Linked DNA regions of Caenorhabditis elegans. The protein of the gene in region 2 purifies or fractionates together with the protein of the main gene of each other region. This does not show direct contact. Each region holds a gene or a part of one and is shown on either strand. Other genes may lie near its edges.

The links. The genes of interacting proteins can lie anywhere in the genome.
Region 1: the proteins of C54E10.6 (region 2) and Y47D3A.14 fractionate together in Caenorhabditis elegans (co-fractionation; one large-scale study listed by BioGRID). This does not show direct contact.
Region 3: the proteins of C54E10.6 (region 2) and chdp-1 fractionate together in Caenorhabditis elegans (co-fractionation; one large-scale study listed by BioGRID). This does not show direct contact.

What each region holds. Positions count from the first base shown.
Region 1 is NC_003281.10:11,234,127-11,238,657, reverse strand, and holds Y47D3A.14 (CMP/dCMP-type deaminase domain-containing protein), read left to right. Parts: upstream 1-1,789; 5' UTR 1,790-1,802; coding exon 1,803-1,852; intron 1,853-1,921; coding exon 1,922-2,024; intron 2,025-2,075; coding exon 2,076-2,228; intron 2,229-2,276; coding exon 2,277-2,477; intron 2,478-2,523; coding exon 2,524-2,752; intron 2,753-2,921; coding exon 2,922-3,049; 3' UTR 3,050-3,077; downstream 3,078-4,531. Other genes in the region: aakb-2 (Association with the SNF1 complex (ASC) domain-containing protein), read right to left, coding at 571-847, 899-1,293, 1,355-1,507; Y47D3A.34 (AcidPPc domain-containing protein), read left to right, coding at 3,797-3,942, 4,483-4,531.
Region 2 is NC_003283.11:18,806,601-18,811,541, reverse strand, and holds C54E10.6 (Protein MNN4-like), read left to right. Parts: upstream 1-2,812; 5' UTR 2,813-2,880; coding exon 2,881-3,061; intron 3,062-3,274; coding exon 3,275-3,432; 3' UTR 3,433-3,473; downstream 3,474-4,941. Other genes in the region: C54E10.3 (G-protein coupled receptors family 1 profile domain-containing protein), read right to left, coding at 1-90, 249-537.
Region 3 is NC_003279.8:6,283,212-6,290,792, forward strand, and holds chdp-1 (Calponin homology domain-containing protein), read left to right. Parts: upstream 1-1,761; 5' UTR 1,762-1,796; coding exon 1,797-2,162; intron 2,163-2,476; exon of another isoform or gene 2,477-2,688; intron 2,689-3,136; exon of another isoform or gene 3,137-3,361; intron 3,362-3,452; coding exon 3,453-3,611; intron 3,612-3,824; coding exon 3,825-4,142; intron 4,143-4,215; coding exon 4,216-4,389; 3' UTR 4,390-4,556; intron 4,557-5,713; 3' UTR 5,714-6,127; downstream 6,128-7,581. Other genes in the region: C10G11.6 (Verprolin-like), read left to right, coding at 6,222-6,268, 7,105-7,159, 7,207-7,311, 7,359-7,465.

The DNA of each region.
Region 1 (4,531 bases), on a different chromosome or scaffold from region 2:
AAGAGGCGACTATAATACAAAAACTAAAGAGTGGGAGAAAATTTTGGAACTTTGGTCTCGGGAGCTTGAAAAATCAAGATTTTTCTACAAAAAATCCAAAAAAATCGAGATTTTTCAATTTTGAAGCACGACCAATCAGGGCTTAGCTCCGCCCACTTTTCAACCAATCACAACCCCATGGCGCGGTTTTTGCTGTCTTTTTGTGTTTAATCGATTTTTTTTCGGTTTTTTTCCCCGAATTTTGCAACGGAAAACAACAATTTTTGTCTTTATTCCTGAAAAAAGATGATGCAAAACGATAAGTTTATGTCGTTTTGCTTAATTTTTTTCAGAAATAGAGACAAAAAAGGCTATATTTTGGGAAAAATGGTAGATTTCTATTTAAAAATAGTTAAAAACACTTTTTTTAAAAGAATATAATCGAGCGAAATCAAGAAATTTTGAATTAAAAATAGGAAAAACCGTACCGCAGTATGATTGGTTCAATAGTGGGCGGAGCTAATCGCTGATTAGTCAGGGCATTTTTTTCGATTTTTTTCAACAAAAAACCCCACAAAACAAGAAAAACAGTTAGACAGGCTTGTAGAGAAGAGTGGTGACGAACTTCTTGCGATAGCGTTGCGTCGATGAGAGCACCATAACGCTGTCCTTGATGGAGAGCGCGTACATGTGGTTGAGCATCACATGATTCGGCTCCGGCAGCACATTCGGATCGCATGACTCGGGCGTCTCCTTGTTGAGAAGCACCTGCATGAGTTGTGGTGGAATTACTGGTGGTCCGGCTGCCTTCCGAAGCATATCCATTGATGGGATCTCTTGGGTGAAGGAGCGCAGTTTTTCGAGCTCTCTGAAAAAGTTTTTTTTAGTTTTTTAGTGAACATTTCTGAAGTTTTCTCACCTGTCATTCGGAGTATCATGATTCTTGGTGCTCTCCGACTCGCCACGGAGCACCTCCCCGGCTGTAGATGACTGGAAGTCTTCATCCAGCGCTTCGAAAACTGCAAAATCCGAGTCTTGAATATTGATCATATTGTTCTCATTTCCATGAACGTCCTGTGCCTTTCCCTGATTATCGTCGACGACCCACGAGCCGTCCACTTGGAATTTGTACTCGTATTGTCCGGGTTGCAGGTCGATGATTGTCGAAAAGTCGTTTGTCGACTTTACCATCGGGATCCGCGTCTGCCAGTTATCCCATGATCCAACGATATGGACGACACGTGGCTGTGCGTTTTGTGTGAAACTCCAGCGGAATACCACTGGGCATTCGCCGGATTTGTCCTCATTTCCGTCCTGAAAATATTGAAAAATAATTTAAAAAAGGAATTTTTGGGATTTTTTGTGAAAATCTCACATCAAAAATCATCGGCGGTCCTCCATCCGGGTTCGGGAGTACTTGTCCGGCGATTTTTGCCGTTTCGCTCATCATCCGATGCCTTCGGAGGCCCGCCTTGTCGTTTGGGCCTCCATAGCGGGCGTCGGGCCCTCCAGACTGATTGTTGCCCATTTTCTTCTGGAATTTTCGCAATAAATCGATGAAATAAGGTGGAAAGAAGATTGAGAATTGAAAAAATGTGAGAAATCTCGGAAAAACCGACGAAAATTGATAAAAGTGACGGGATTAAAAATAAATAAACAGCTGCAAAATGCACATGATTCGGGTGCGGCGCGGAAATGTGGGCGGGGCGGAGGCAGGCAATGCCGCCGCACACTTTTTTCCATATTTATTTTTTGGATTTATTTATTTAATTTTTGCCGTTTTATCTATTTTTAAACAGTTTTTTTTCAGATTTGCAAGGAAAATGTCACTGGAAGAGCCTCCGGAAAAAATTAGAAAAATCGATACGATGAGGTAAGCCGTAAAAACCATTTTTGAAATAAAAATCCTCAAAAATCCTCAAAAACAACAACAAAATTCCAGAATTAAAGTCTACCCAATTCTGGATTCAACTCTCACTTGCGACACAATCCCATCGACTTCCTTCCAAGCTTTACGACTTGAAAACAAGAAAATTATTGGGACAGTAGGGAAACTTACCCTTTCCCCAAAATTAGTCGAAATTCTATATTTTCAGATTATCAGGCGACTTCCAGAACTTCCAGAAGAGCTTTCACACTTGAAAAGAGTCGGAAAAGACGGAAGTGTGCTGATAGCAGAGTCGGAGGAAGTCGCAAAGCTTATCGTGGGAAAGTTGGAGGACGCAGAAGCTCGGGTGGAAGATTTAGTGGTAGAAAATCAAAAAAAATCTGAAAATTCCTAATTTTTCAATTTTCAGCCAGTAAAAGTCGCGAGAACCAAGCCACAGACCCGACGGCAATTCCAAGTGGCTAAGGAGCTCTGGCCAACAGGATTTCACCCGAATCATGAGCTCGAGCAACTTCTAGACGGCTCTTTTCTCACAGAATCGCTGAAAAAATACGTGGATCGATGGCTCGGCGAAGCTGCTCGGCTGGGGGATGGTTGTATAGCTGTGCAGGTAATTTGCACCGCCTGAAAAATCCAAAAAATCCAAAAAATTCCAGAACGACGAGCTCCTCTCCACGGGCCGCCCGTCTTCCCATCCACTCGGCCACCCGGTAATGGAAATGGTTGGAAATCTGCCGAAAAGACACGGCGATGACTATCTTGGCACCGGATCCGACGTTTTCCTCATCACGGAGCCCTGTGCAATGTGCTCAATGGCTTTGGTGCATTTTCGTGTGAAGCGGGTTTTTTACGCGCGGAATTCCCGGAATGGCGTGTTGAAAGAAGGTTTGAAATGGAGAAATATTGAGAAAAAACCAGAAAAATTCATTTTTCCCACTGATTGCATATGAAAATTTAGAAATTTTTGGGTGAAAATCAACAAAATTCAATTTTTAAAAAACTTTTTTCATTTAAATTTCTCGATTTTCGTGTCAAAATTAAAATTAATTTTTAGACGGCTGGCAACTGCACCTGGAGCCCTCCATCAACCACCACTACGAGGTTTTTCGTGTTGAAGGCCTTCTGGATAATAATTATATTGTTGATAATTCTGACCGTTTTTGTTCCAATATTCAATTGTGAAGTTTTTTTTTTAATAAAAAAACAATACAAAATTGGTGGCCGAGTTCTTTACATCTCACGGCCACGTAGAGCTCAATCAGTGGAAATTACAGAAAGTTTCGAGTTTTGTTAATTTTTCATGTGAAATTGTAGTCTCTTTGTAGATTTTTTCCCAACTTCAGAGGTTTTAAATGTTTTTTGCATTAAAATCACCCCTACAGTACCCATATAATACACCTACAGTACCCCTACGGTACCCTGCAGTACAGTAAGCCAACAGTACCCCTATATTACCCTTACAGTATGACTACAGTACCCCTACAGTACCCTGCAGTACAGTAATCATACAGTACACCTATGATACCCCTACATTGCTCCCACAGCATGACTACAGTACCCCTACAGTACCCGTAACGTACCCATACAGTTCCCACATCGTACTTCTAGCAACTGTACCTTCCTGCAGCATACCGTTTATGTCAAACTACAGTTATTCTACAGTTTCTAAAATCTATCTACAGTATCTGCAGATCATCTTTCAAACGTGAAATGGATATTTTAGATATTGAAAAGCATTAGCCTTCTCCTTTTTCCTGAAAAAAAAGGTTTCCCAAGAAATCCCAACCTAAAATCGAATTTGCCGGCGGGTTCACACAATCCACAAAACAATCCGTTTACCCCGTACTCCTCCTCCTTTTGTCAAGAATTCACCCCGCAAAAAGTTTCAATTTTGCTCAAGCTTTCACTTTCCCTACTTTTCCAGGAAAAATGCACCCGAAAGTCAAAAAATCCTGGGAAATTTTGAAAATCTGCGTGTTTTTTCTGACGCTGTTCACTTTACTGTTTGCCACGTCGATTATCAATTTCTATCTGACACCTAGATTTTCAGGGCTCTGCGATTTTTATGATTATGGGTGAGTTTGTTGGTAAAAATTGATTTTTTTAATTTTGGAAATAAAATATTACTATACAGATGTGGACTAGTACTTTTTTTTATATTTTTTTTAGTAGGCTAGGGTTACTGTGGAGTACTGTAACATTGCGGGGGTACTGTAGTAGGCTTAGGGTTACGATTCTGGCTACTGTAGGATTACTGTAGTTTAAGGTTCATATATTCTGCCAGTTCTGTGATGTGTGTGATGGTTTAGTAGTACTGTAGGTATACCGTAGGGTTACTGTAGCTTGGGAAATTTTAGCTTTTGTCTATAGAAGAGGTGTTGGGTTGGAAGTTGGTGGGGGATCATGTCAAGGTTCTGTAGTGGTACTGTAGGGGTACTGTAGGTATACGGTAGGGCTACTGTAGGCTAATGATACTGTAGAGCCACGACCTGAAACTGTATAAATAGGTACCTAGAGTAGCCGTTGCCTACCGTAACCATATAGGATCGTGGCCCTGTAGTACCATTGGCCTACCGTAATATCATAAATGTAAGGTTACTGTAGGATTACTGTAGAATTTTGTTTTTCATAAATGCCACGTCATCGGACGTTACAAAAGAGGAA
Region 2 (4,941 bases):
ACATTGCCACCCAAGTCCAGTGAATAAAGCATGACGATGAATTCACAGAAAACGCGGTCATTTTGCATACCCAGACGCCAGGAATTGTGTCTGTAAAAAACTACGTCGCTCCGAAATTCCGCTTGGTGGAAAATTAATTTTCCACCAAATTTAACCAAATTTTCTGGTTTTTTCCTAATTTTTGTTTAACTAGACACCGTTTTTACCTTATTTTCTTAGTTTTTCACTCAAAGAATCGCAAAACTCACCATAAATCACATCGCTATTCTCCACAATTACACTTGCCACCAAAGTACCCAAAAGTACAAAGTTCCCAGCTAAAATCGCACTGAAAAATGGCAGAAAATGCACATTTTTGCCAGTTTTGCCGTGAATATACAAAAAGCTTAGAAATATGATAAGTAGCGTGAAAAAACCAACGAAAAGTACCGAGTAGAAGAGGATTTGCGACGAGTTTTGCCATTCGTCGAGATAGGTTTGCTCATCGGTGAGCATTGATTGGTCAATGAAGGAGATCAGTGGGACTGAGATCGACATGCTGAAATTTTAATGTTTAGACTAAAAATTTGAGAAATTTGAGAAAAAACTATTCAAAAAACTGAATTTGTGGCTGTAAATCAAGATTTGTGATTAGAAAATTCGAATTCCTTGCCTAGAAAAACCTATATACCCTATCAGGGGGTCGAACCTGTGCCCTATTTCACCAAAGCCAAGCCACTTACCTACTGCGCCATATGGGAATCGCGTGGCAAAAAAGGCGCAGCGCGCGCCTAGCAGCATGGCGCAGTGGCTAAGAGGCTTACCTTTGGTAAAATAGGCCACAGGTTCGAATCCCATCGGGGGTACATATATTTTTTTAGGCGGAGAAATCGAATTGTTTACTTTTAAACTTAGAAAATCCACGTGGAAGGTGGAATTTTGAGTTAAAACTGTATACTTTTGACAGTTTCAACAATTTTTTTACAATATGCAAATCGAACTAAATGTTATGATCTCTGCAAAACCTTCATATTTGCAAATAATTTTTTTCAATGAATTTTTTTACTCAGCGTTTTTTACTTTCTCACTTAGAAAAAAATATATACCCTAGCAGGGGTTTGAACCTGTGACCTATTTCCCCAAAGGCAAGCCTGTTATCCACTGCGTCAACCCCTTCCTTCCTGGCTACTTCTCCGGAATTGCGCGCGCGCACGCATGGCTAAGTGAGTAAGAGGCTTGGCTATGGAAAAATAGGTCACTGGTTCGATTCTCAGGTAGGCTGTTTAGTTTTTTCTAGGTAAGAATTTGGAATTTTCATGGCTTGTGAGCTGAAAATTGGAGTTTTTAGCCATTATTTCTTCTTTTTTTCTAAAAAAAAGAATTTTTGAAGTCAATTTTAGTTTTCATATTTTAGAAAAATAGTCAAATGTACACCAATGCTTGAAAACTAGGAAAAAACTGAAAAATATCCGGAAGAGTGCTTGAAAGTGAAAAACAAAGGGATTAGTGGGAATTTTTAATTTTTTCGCAAAATTTTTCTCAATTTTCATAAACAGCTGTGCTAAAAATCTGGAAAATGCAGGAAATTGAATGTGCTCGGTGGGAAAAATTAGGAAACATGAATTATTCCTAAAAAGTAACAAATAATAAGCTAACACGCAATTATACACATTTTTTGCTGCTTTGGTGGCTTAAAAATGACGTAAATATAGCTTTTATTCAAACAAAAAAAATACATTTTTTCTAAAGATTGCGAAAAAAAAAAATTCTGGAAATTTTGAAAATTTCGAAAAAAATTTTTTTTGGAAAATTTGAAAATTCAATTTTTTTTTAATTTCAGGATTTTTGCTTAAAAACCCACAAAAATATGCTAACTCCAATTTTTATGCAATTTCCCTTCCTGAAAATCTAATTTTCCACTTAAAAACCACACAAAGAACACAAAGAAATCCAATTTTTTTTTTGGAAAAAAAAAAAAATTCTGAGATTTTCGCTCTTTTAGCCTATGCTGCATAATAATCCTAGAAAAATATCGGAAGCCTGACAAGAAGTTTCCAGAAAAACGTGACAATTTCAGCTTCCGGGGGGTTTCACACATTATTTTCTTTTCTCTGGCTATATTTTCGAGTTACATGGGAAAATGACAAATTTTTAACTAAAAGAAAGCAAAAAACAAATTTTTTTTTGAGAAAAGTGATGTGCAGCAAAAAATGCGGAAAATTTGGTTTTTTTTTAACTTTTAATTTTCCAAAAAACGAGGTTTTGCGTTGAGTTTGGCAATTTCAAATTCAAAAATTCGAATTTCTCACCTAGAAAAACCTGTATACCCCAACCGGGGTTCGAACCTGCGACCTATTTTTCCAGAGACGAGCCGCTTACCCACTGAGCCATGCTGGCAGGCGCGCGGTGCGCCACTTTTGCCACGCGGTTCCCATGTGGCGCAGTGGGTAGGTGGCTTGACTTCGGTGAAATAGGTCACAGGTTCGAGCCCCGAACTGGTTTACAGGTTTTTCTAGACGAGATTTTTGAATTTTTTAGTTTAAAACTCTGAAAATCGACACGAAATCGGGTTTGCTGATTTTTTTTTCGAACTTTTCATTTAAATTCCACCAATCTTTGGGTCTTCACAACCATAAATTTAATTTCCCGTAAATAAATTAGTTCTCCTTCCGAACCAAGCCACCAGCTGACACCAACGGCTGTGTTGCACTTCTCCCCGTCTCGCACCGTCTGCGTCTCCGCATGCTCTCTAACTCTCTCCCTCGGAGGCTGAATCCCAAGCCATCTGCTGTCCGCAGAGTGCTCATTCCTCACTTTTGTATTGATTTACTGAAAATTTGACGAGTTTTCGCCAGAATTTTGCTGGATTTTCACAAAACTTCCTGTATTTTCAGCCCAAAAATGTCTGAAATCTCCATAAAACGTGCACATGAAAACGAAAAAGATGCAGAGGAAGATATGGAGCCAGCAACTAAAAAAATTAAATCTGATGACGTCACAGAGGAGCAGGAGAAGCCTGAAATTGTGGAGAAAGCTGAAAAAGTGAAGAGCATGAAAAAGGAAGAAGCTGGCAGCCTGAAATGTGAGTTTTTGAGCAATTTTTGAAAAGAAATGGGTTAAAATAGACTGAAAATGGATGATTTTAAACTTTTTTCTAAAAATTAAAATTTTGAAAATTTTGATCAAAAAAAAAATTTTTTTTTGAAATTTCGAAAAAAAAAATGTTTGAAAAATTTACAATTTTTATTTTTTTTCCTATTCTTCATCAGAACATTTGAATCAAAAAAAATTCCAGCACCACCCAACGATGAAATGGAGTCAGAATTCACACATGTGCTCAATGAGCTCTCAAAACAGAAAGAGACTATCAAAAAACTGCTGGACGATTTGAGAGCGGACAATAAGAAAAGGAAGACACACAATATTAGAACGATTTTCCAGAGAAAAGATTGAAAATTTACTTTTTTTTTGACTATAAATATTTATTTTGCATATTTCAATTTTTTCAGTTTCAACAAAAACCGAACATTTTCAGAGCTTGCGACTATGAAATTCGAGTTTAGGAGAGTAGATATACCAAAGACAAATTTAAAAAAAAACACAGAAAAAAATTGTGCCACAGTGCGGACTCGAACCCCGGCCTTCAGATTGGTAGTCGTCGAAAATCCCACTGAGCCATTTGAGCATAATTTTTAAAAATCGCGGAACTACATTTTTTCAACAGTTTTTGAAATTTGAAAGACTTATCATTGAGTTTTCAAAGTTTTAGATACCTAAAGTTACTGGAATAAATAAAAATTCTCAAACTTTGATACTTGGAAATGAAATGTAAATGAAAATTGCTTCCGTGAGAATTCGGAGAAGTTAATGAAAAGCAACAACAACATATTACCTTAACATTTTTCCATCCAAAAAACCGAAAAATTAAACACCTTTTGTCAAAATTCAGTTCAAAAATAAGCTTTAAAAACTTTGAGATCTAAAAATTCAGATTTCTCGCCTAGAAAAACCTATTGTCACTCTCGTGGATCCGAACCCCCGACCATCTGCGCCAAAAACAAGCCTCTTACCCACTGCGCTGTAAGAGCACCGCGCGCGCAAGCTGCATGGCGCAGTGGGTAAACGGTTTGGCTATAGAGCAATAGGGGACAGGTTCGAACCCCCGGAAGGGTATATAGGTTTTTCTAGGCGTGAAAATTGAATTTTCAACTTTAAAATTGAAAAAAATCTACTTGAAGATCGAAATTCTCGAGTTTACCAGGGTTTGGCCTAATTTTTATGGTTTTTATTTGAAATTATTTGTAGAAGCCTGAGTGTTTTGAGAAAAACACATAAATTCCAAAAATAACTTGCAAAATAATTTCGTGGATTTTATGAATTTCACTGTTCCATTAAGTTTTAGGCAATTTAAAACCCAAAAATTCAAATTTTTCGCCTAGAAAAACCTGTAGCCACTCTCTGGGACTCGAACCCGCGGCCTTCTGCGCCAAAAGCAAGCCTCTTACCCACTGCGCCATAAGTGTACCGCGCGCGCCTGCTGCATGGCGCAGTGGATAAGAGGCTTGCTTTTGGCGCAAAAGGTCAGGGCTCGACCCCGAGAAGGGTATATAGGTTTTTATAGGCGGTGAATTCAAATTTTTTTGTTTAAAACTACCATTTTGAATGGAAAAGTGACTTTTTTCCAAAAAAAAAAAACTAAAATTTTTATATTTTCCAAGTTTTAAGTATTGAGTATAGGTTTTTCTCTGTGAGAGGTTCAAAATTCAAACTTACAATTTTCTACAAGTAGTCTGAGAATCTAAATTTTAAGCTATTCACCCGGGATCAGCAAATCAAATTTTCACGAGAAAATTGGTTCTGCCGGCGAAAACAGGTGAAGTTTTTTTAAAGAAAATTATACAAATATACAAATTTTGCAGGTGAAAAAATTGAAAAAAAAAAACGAAAAAAAAAATCATGAAC
Region 3 (7,581 bases), on a different chromosome or scaffold from region 2:
AAAATGATAATGATTATCAGAGCATTATCAGTTTTCCTAACCGCCATGAACATTGAGCATTGCACCGCTTTTATCAGTTATTACCGTACTAATTGTTTCCGCTTTAGATAATTCCGTTCTATCATCCGATAAAATAGCGCTAAATAATTCTTCAACCTTTTTATTGGTATGAACTCGATGCAATGCTTTCAACTCTCAAATACCCAGTAATTTTGGTTGTCATGGTTACATTCGATTGTGAACCTTCAAAAATTATCTGTTTTCAATTTCATCACTCAAGCAGCACACGCAAACATCCATCCAGCGCGGACACCCGCCCCACAAGTCAGTAGACTCCGCCCAAATTTTCCGTCCGCTATGAGAGACGGGAGAGGGACACATTTGCCGCTGCTGCTGCCGCAATGGAAAGGGACGTTTCGGTGGCTGCTGCCACTGTGTGCATCATTGCGGTTGGGTGGTGTGGTGATGGTGCTGGTAATGGTTGACGATTGGACCACTGGCCTTGTCCTCTTTTTCACTGCAAAATGTGTGCAATACCCCTGCTCTCATATTCATTCATTTCGTCGCCCACATCCATTCCATTCGTCTTTTCTGGACATTTCTTGTTCTCTTTTTGACTCCGCCTTTTTCTCGATTTCGTAATCTATGTTTCCTATGTTTCTCATTTCGAAATCATGAATGACTCATGCTCTGAAGTTCGGACTTCTGTTCATTTCACTTCTATTTGCTTCATTTTTAAATTTAGTGTAGGTGAGAACAGCAACGACTGAATCAGAATCGAGAGCAAATAGGGGGCGGGCGGCGGTTCGATATATCAAATGACACGGAGGTAGACCATTCAAAAAGGTAAATGGTGTTAGTGGACCCTCGCCTCTCATCTCATACCGTCTCTTTCTCTCGTCTGAATAGTCTTTTTGACACACTTATTGTCGTTATGAAATGAATGTGAATAGAGGAAAAAAGGAGATTGAATGACCCTTTTTCGCCACCTCACCTGCTGAGTAAGAACCGGTTATTCCAGAATAGTGAAAGGCTCTTTTGGTTTCTTTTCTTAAGCCTTCTAGTACTCTACCTTCCTACATTTATTGCCTTTTTTCGTCCAGACGAATGTTTTCCAGGAAAAGTGAGCGCTTCTTATCTCGTTAGCATTATTCTTCGATTCAATTCAAGTCGCATATGACTAGTTCTTCTTTTTAAATCATAACCTAAACGCGCATTTTCTCTTCATGACCTTTTCCCGCAATTTGAGCATCGATTGACTGTTCTAGCCCCCGCAGCGTTCAGCGTTCCGCGTACCATCTAGTCTCTTCACACAATCAGTCTTACATTATTGTCCCTACTATAACATCGTCTTCTCTTTCTTTTTACATTGTCTCACTTGAGTTCTTCGTCTTTTTTTGTTCTTCTCATCTATATCCACTAAAACCCCATTCTTGGAGACGGTTCTAGAATAGAAAATGAGTCCTCGACAGAGACGGGTGCAATTAGTGTCCAAGCGAGAGAGAAGCTTTTGCTCATTCCGGTTTTGTCTTTTGCCTACCAAAATGTGCTACCCCGGCTTACTAGCGGCTCGCTACTGGAGACTCTATTCGATTACCCCCGTAATTGAGTTGACTTTCATGGTAGTCTTCTGTTTTTCCCCATTCCATTTTCTCATTTTTCTTATTCTCCTCTCCAACTCGTCTATTTCTCTCGTATTTTTTCTCCATTTTTAGCTCTTTGTTTCTCCGAATACCTCGAAAATTAATGAGTTTCTTTCAGTCTCAGTTCTCTCGTCACTAACCAACACATCAACTATGTCTGAGGAAATCAAGAAGATCGAGGAGGTCGCCGAGCAAGACAAGGCTCCAAAGGTTCCAACCACCGAACCACCAGTCGATGTTCCAGCACCAGTTACTGAAGAAGCACCAAAAGTAGAAGAAGCTGTCGCTGAGATTGCTGCCCCAGCTGCTGCAGAAGGAGAAACTGCCACCGCTGCTGCTGCAGCTCCAGAAGAGAAAAAGAAGTCTGGAGGTGTTGCTCGGCGTTTCACTTTCAACAAGAGATGGGGAAAGCACCGTGATGCGGAAGCATCCACTCCAAAAGAGCCAGAAGCACCAAAGGATCCAAAGGAAGACGTTCTCGGATGGATTGCTCAACAGATTCCACAGGCTGTTCACAAGGTAAGAATACTTTCAAAATAACTAAAACGATTCAGGGCAGATGGTATTCTCGCTAGAGCAACCGAAACGCAGGTTTAGTATTCACCCTAGCATAACAGCTGTTTCCGATTAGCCCCCATTCTCACCAGTTACCTTTGAATTCAAATTACCGCAGTTCGATTTTTTAAGAATCATAGGTGAATTCATTGGAATGCCTAAAAATTTCTAGGAATTGGCCAAAACGATGCATAAGTACTTTTAACTAACAAGAACCTATCTGAAATTTGATCCTGAGCTCACAAAAAAGTTTGGAACAAGTGCATTTTCCCCTACTCCTTCACAAGTTCATTAAGTCTATTCATCAACATTTGCAATGTATCGCTCATTGGTATTTGCAAGGTTTTTTGTTTGATCGCGCCGGCGAGATTGGCGATGTGCGTCGGCACTCTGTAAAAGGGCAGCTGTGCCAATCTTTCCTCGTTCCGACGCTCGTATTGCTGCAGACCCCGTAGAATGGTGTTGTAATGTAACTAACTGTGTGTGCGCGCGCACCGGATTCGCTATTGCGTAACTCTTTAGGATAATGAGAGGCAGATATTGTAGATATCCTAGAAATTGACAGACGTTCGTAAAAGTTATAAAATCGATGTTGTCTGGTGACCAGGATATTTACACGAATTAGAAATAAAAAGATGTGTGATTCGACTTTAAATTTTGAATACTCACAAAAATAATCCCCATGGAAACGGAAACAAAAATACATGACGAAAAGTATTTATATTTCATCATAATTTCGAAACATCTGTTTTATACAATGAGATTCACAAAGATTAGCATGTATGAAATCTCTTTTAAAGTCTGAATTTCGCAGGAATTTTGAGAGAAGAAAGTTTAGAAGCTATACAAAAAATTGGGTCAATTTCCCTAGACATTAATCCTGAACAATTGCTGGTTCAGTTCGACAGCCATTTTTTGTTGGTACACAAGATGAATTCGTCCTTTTTGCATCTTCTTTCCCAAAAAAAAAGGAACTCATTGGTTGAACCGCGCTGCTGCTCTGCTCCTCCTTTCTTTGTTTCTTAATTCTGATGCAAACGCACTTCTGTTTTAGTGGTTGCCGTCTTTCTTGTCCAGCACGAATGAGAATGATCTCTTATATGGAGGCTTGCAACATTGAGAGTGCTCTCATGGGATTATAGCAGAAAGAACTGGTATTGGATATTTGCGTCTTTTTTGCACTGAGAAAACAAATTACATTGGAACGTTCTTTTTTCGGATTCTTATTTTGGTCATTAAAGTTTTATTTTTCAGGCCAACTACCAGGTTATCGACTGGGTTCAGAAGACAGCTATCCCAGAGGAAGGAGAGCGAAAGACCATTCCGGGAAAAGATCAGGCCACGACTCGCAACCAATTCATTGGATTCTTCAAAGATGGAGATGTCCTCGCCAAGCTGGCCAACGCTCTTGAGGTATGTTAATTTCACTTTTCTGATAAGAATATATGGGGTAATGATGATGATGATAAAATGTGATAAGTGATATGCAAATAGGTCGGAAGGTGCATTATCAATTAGCGGTATTTCCGTTCCGACATTGATCGGAATTCGGAAATATTTTGAGATCTATTATATGAGTTAATTAAGTGAGGGATCTTAATCATGAAAACAAATTAAAATTTACAGCCAGGAGCAGTTGAAGTCGCTGCCGCTGAGGAAAACGCCGATGCTGCAGCCCAGAAAGAAGTTCAGAAGAAGAACATTGATGCCTTCGGAGCTTGGGCTCAAAAGACTCTTGGAACCGAGGCTGCTCCAGTAACCAACGAAGATCTTCTTGAAAAGGGAAAAGCTGGATACACAGCTGTTTTCCAAACTCTCTGGCAACTCGGAGTTCAGGCCAAGGAAAAGTTTGACAAGGAAGGATTCAATGTTGACACCATTGTTCAGCTTGCAAACTCTGTCGTCAAGAGCGGATTGTTGACCACAATCCTAGGATTCTTCAGAGTGAGTTATATTCTAGATTAATTTTCAATTAACTTTTGTTTTTATTTTTGATAGCTAATTTATCTTGTTTCAGAGAAATCGGCAAGCTGCTGCTGCTGTAGAAGAGCCAAAGGATGAGACTGCAGCTGCGGAGGGAGCCGGAGAAGCAAAAGAAGAGGGAGCTACCGGAGAAGTTGCAGATACCGCTGATGAGCCAGTTGCAGTGAAACAAGAGACTAGTGCACCGGCTGCCGTCGCTGCAAATTAGAAATCTGGAAGAAGTATTTATCTTTCTGTAATTTCTAGTCCGCATCTCTCTTTTCCACTATCGTGTTCCGGTATCTCAACTGTTTCCTCCGCCTCTTCATTCCAAATATTCAATGTCTCTTCCTCGAAACGATGATGATAGCTCAAAGAAGAAATGTGCTCTCAAAAGTAAGTGTAGTACAAAAACGATGACCGTCTGGCGGGATGTGTGTTTGAGTAACGGATTTATATGCATAAAGAGTCCTTATTTGGTCTCGGTTTTGGACCGTTTAGTGTAGCGCGGAAGTGGAAAAGTGTACTATTGGACTTCTCGTTCTACAAAGCGTGTGCTCACATTCCATCGGTCGGCGTGCTCTTAATGAGAAGACAAGTGTTGGTTTTGTTTTTGGAACTGGGCCAAGTCTCTCCCATTTCTATTTTCTCTATTGAGGGAAAATAGTACAAATGAGAGAGGCAATAATTAGGAAGCGATGGACAATTATGGGTCACTGAGCACCACAAAAGGACCGCCTTTCTATAATTAGAAAGGTGCAAACATTCTCTATGTAGACATACCTTGATTTTAATTTTATAACGCTTGAGTTAGTTCTAGAAACTCTTTAGAAAATTTCTAACTGAAAGGCGTAAATTTCTTGAGATTCTCTCGGAAGACAAAACAATAGGATCAAAGTTTGGACATTGATTTTTTTTACCGAATCCTTGGAATGATGTATTTGTCCTCCGCCAAACTTTTTTTTAAATTTCTCGTCTTCCGTTTCCTTCTCGCTTGAGGATCCCAAATAGGCGTGGAATTGGAGACTGTAGATCAGATTATACCTCTCATTCACATTTTCGGAGGCGAGTCCTGTACAAAAAAAGCGAGAAGACCTTGACTCGGTGACCCTTTCAAATTGTCTACCGTCTCTTCTATGGTCCGTACTGCATCGTGACTTGTTTCCTGTCGTCATCATACAGGTCAACCTTACCAACCGATCCTAAGTAATTTGAGTCGGAAGAAGTGGTTGAGAGGGGTTCGTAGGGTGTCTGGTGTGGTAGATTGAACTGTTTATATTCTAAAAGGGCAGCTGAGAAGGACCTTGAGAATATAATTGTTTATACTAAAAAGTCACGAGCAGCCACAGAAAATATCCTTTTTTGAAGTAATTGGTCATCAATTTCTGCTCGCTGACAAAAAAGGTCCAAAATGGTCAATTGACAGATGATGATATTTAACGAGAAACGGAAAGGGGTTCTGCGCTTATTTTTAATGTGCCGTTGAATGCAATTATTCAATTATCTGTGAAATGAGGATATCAAGAAAAAACTAATAAATTTAATTATTTCAGCACTATCTTCAATCAAAGCAATCATCTTCATTTCGATGTCGGCCGGGCAGCAGCAATCAATTTTTAAAAAATCTTTTCTCTAAAAGAAAATCTAATTTTGTTCATCGTTTTACCATTCTTCATTTCAACCAATTTTCTCACCTAATAAGACTTTAATAATCGATAATTGATCTATAAAAGTCTATTTTTCACCAATCTCTCGATTCATCAAACTTTTTTTGTATTTTGATAACTATTGTCTCAGCTTTCTCTTTTTGTGCTTTTCATCCTCCAAAAGTGTGAAGCTCATTAAATGAGCCTTTCCACTTGATTGATTCGAGATTTTTCCTGTTTTTCCAAAGTTCAATCTCTATTCTCTCGCTTTTTTCAACTTCAGTTTTTTCTCATTTTTCGAAATAAATAATGGAACCAACCAATTCTTCTTCGTTGTGCATGTTGTTTTTGAGTTAACATTGGTTCTAAATTTATTTTAAATTAAAAAAGTTCTAAATACAGTTAAAATATTCAGATGTTTTCAACAACACCAATTAAAGAAGAATCATGGAGACATGAAGGGTAAGAAATTATAAAAAGTTCTAAATACAGTAAAATAATTTTTTTCGCAAGGAATTGTAATCTTACTGTCAGTTGTTTTATAGAAATTTTGAAGCATCTCAAATATTTCAAGCCTCCTTTCGCTAATTTTTTGTGAATCAGATTAAATATTTTTTGTTTTAAGAACTTAACGTTTAAATTCAAGACATAAAAAACTCGAGAAATCTTAGATAAAATACGCAAAAATCGAAAGAATTTTGAAATTATTGCTTTACATGTCGCGACCTTCAATTGTTTCTAATCGTAGACCCAAAATTTTGCGATTTTTGAGCCAAGAACACGGTATTCGGTCTCGGCACGACAATTTCTCGTTAAATGAAAAATAGTGTGCGTCTTAAGAGTGTACTGTAATTTCAACCTTCCGTTCCTGCGCAATTTTTGATATTTTTTTCGTTAAAAAAGATGTTTAAAAAAACTAAATTCAAACCCGGGTACTGTATTTTAGCGCGAAATTTCGCTTCTGAGCAATAATTGGGAATCTGCAGTAATGCTTTTTTCCGGCCAAAAACCCCCTAAAGTTATTAAACTGCGAGATTCTGTAAACTGCCGATTTACTCTATCAATTCTACAAAACCAACAACCCATGTGGCCTTTTTTGTTTTTATTTCATTTTCTCTTTGCGCTCCCATCTTTCGTCTTTTCATGTCTGCACTCTTCTAAAACCATAATGTCTGATGCCTCTCATTTTCTCTGCGTCTTCTCTTTAAAACATTGTGCGCGTTGTTATTTTTTTCTGCAAAAATATTAACCATACAGAGTTAACTTTTCATTGAATATTTTTTATAATAAAATTTCAGATTTCCAATGAAATATCAATTGGACGAAGACGACGAAGAAGGGCTTGTTCATTCGGTAGGGTTTTGAATGAAAAAATACGTTAAAATTTGAAATATTTTCAGCCACATTCATCTTTTACCACGGAAAACCTTCGATCTTCTGATCCTATGTTTTTTGATATAAATAGATGGAAACGAGAAGTTGGAACTGTGATACGATCGGAAAATGTAAGGAATCAAAAAATATCATTTATCAAAACTGAAACGTTTTTCAGCATGTTTTAATACATAATGATGATGAGATCCGAAATGCAATTTCTAAAGCAATGCTCCTTGATTCTGCATCTGAACATTTGCAAAGAAAGAGAAAACGACTCATTGAGTGAGTTAATTCAGTACAAAAAGCTTAGAAGCATTAATTTTTATAAATTAAAATTTTTTAAACAAAAAAAGGCTTTTTGAATTGAAGATCATTGTTTTCATAGTCGATTTAGTTTA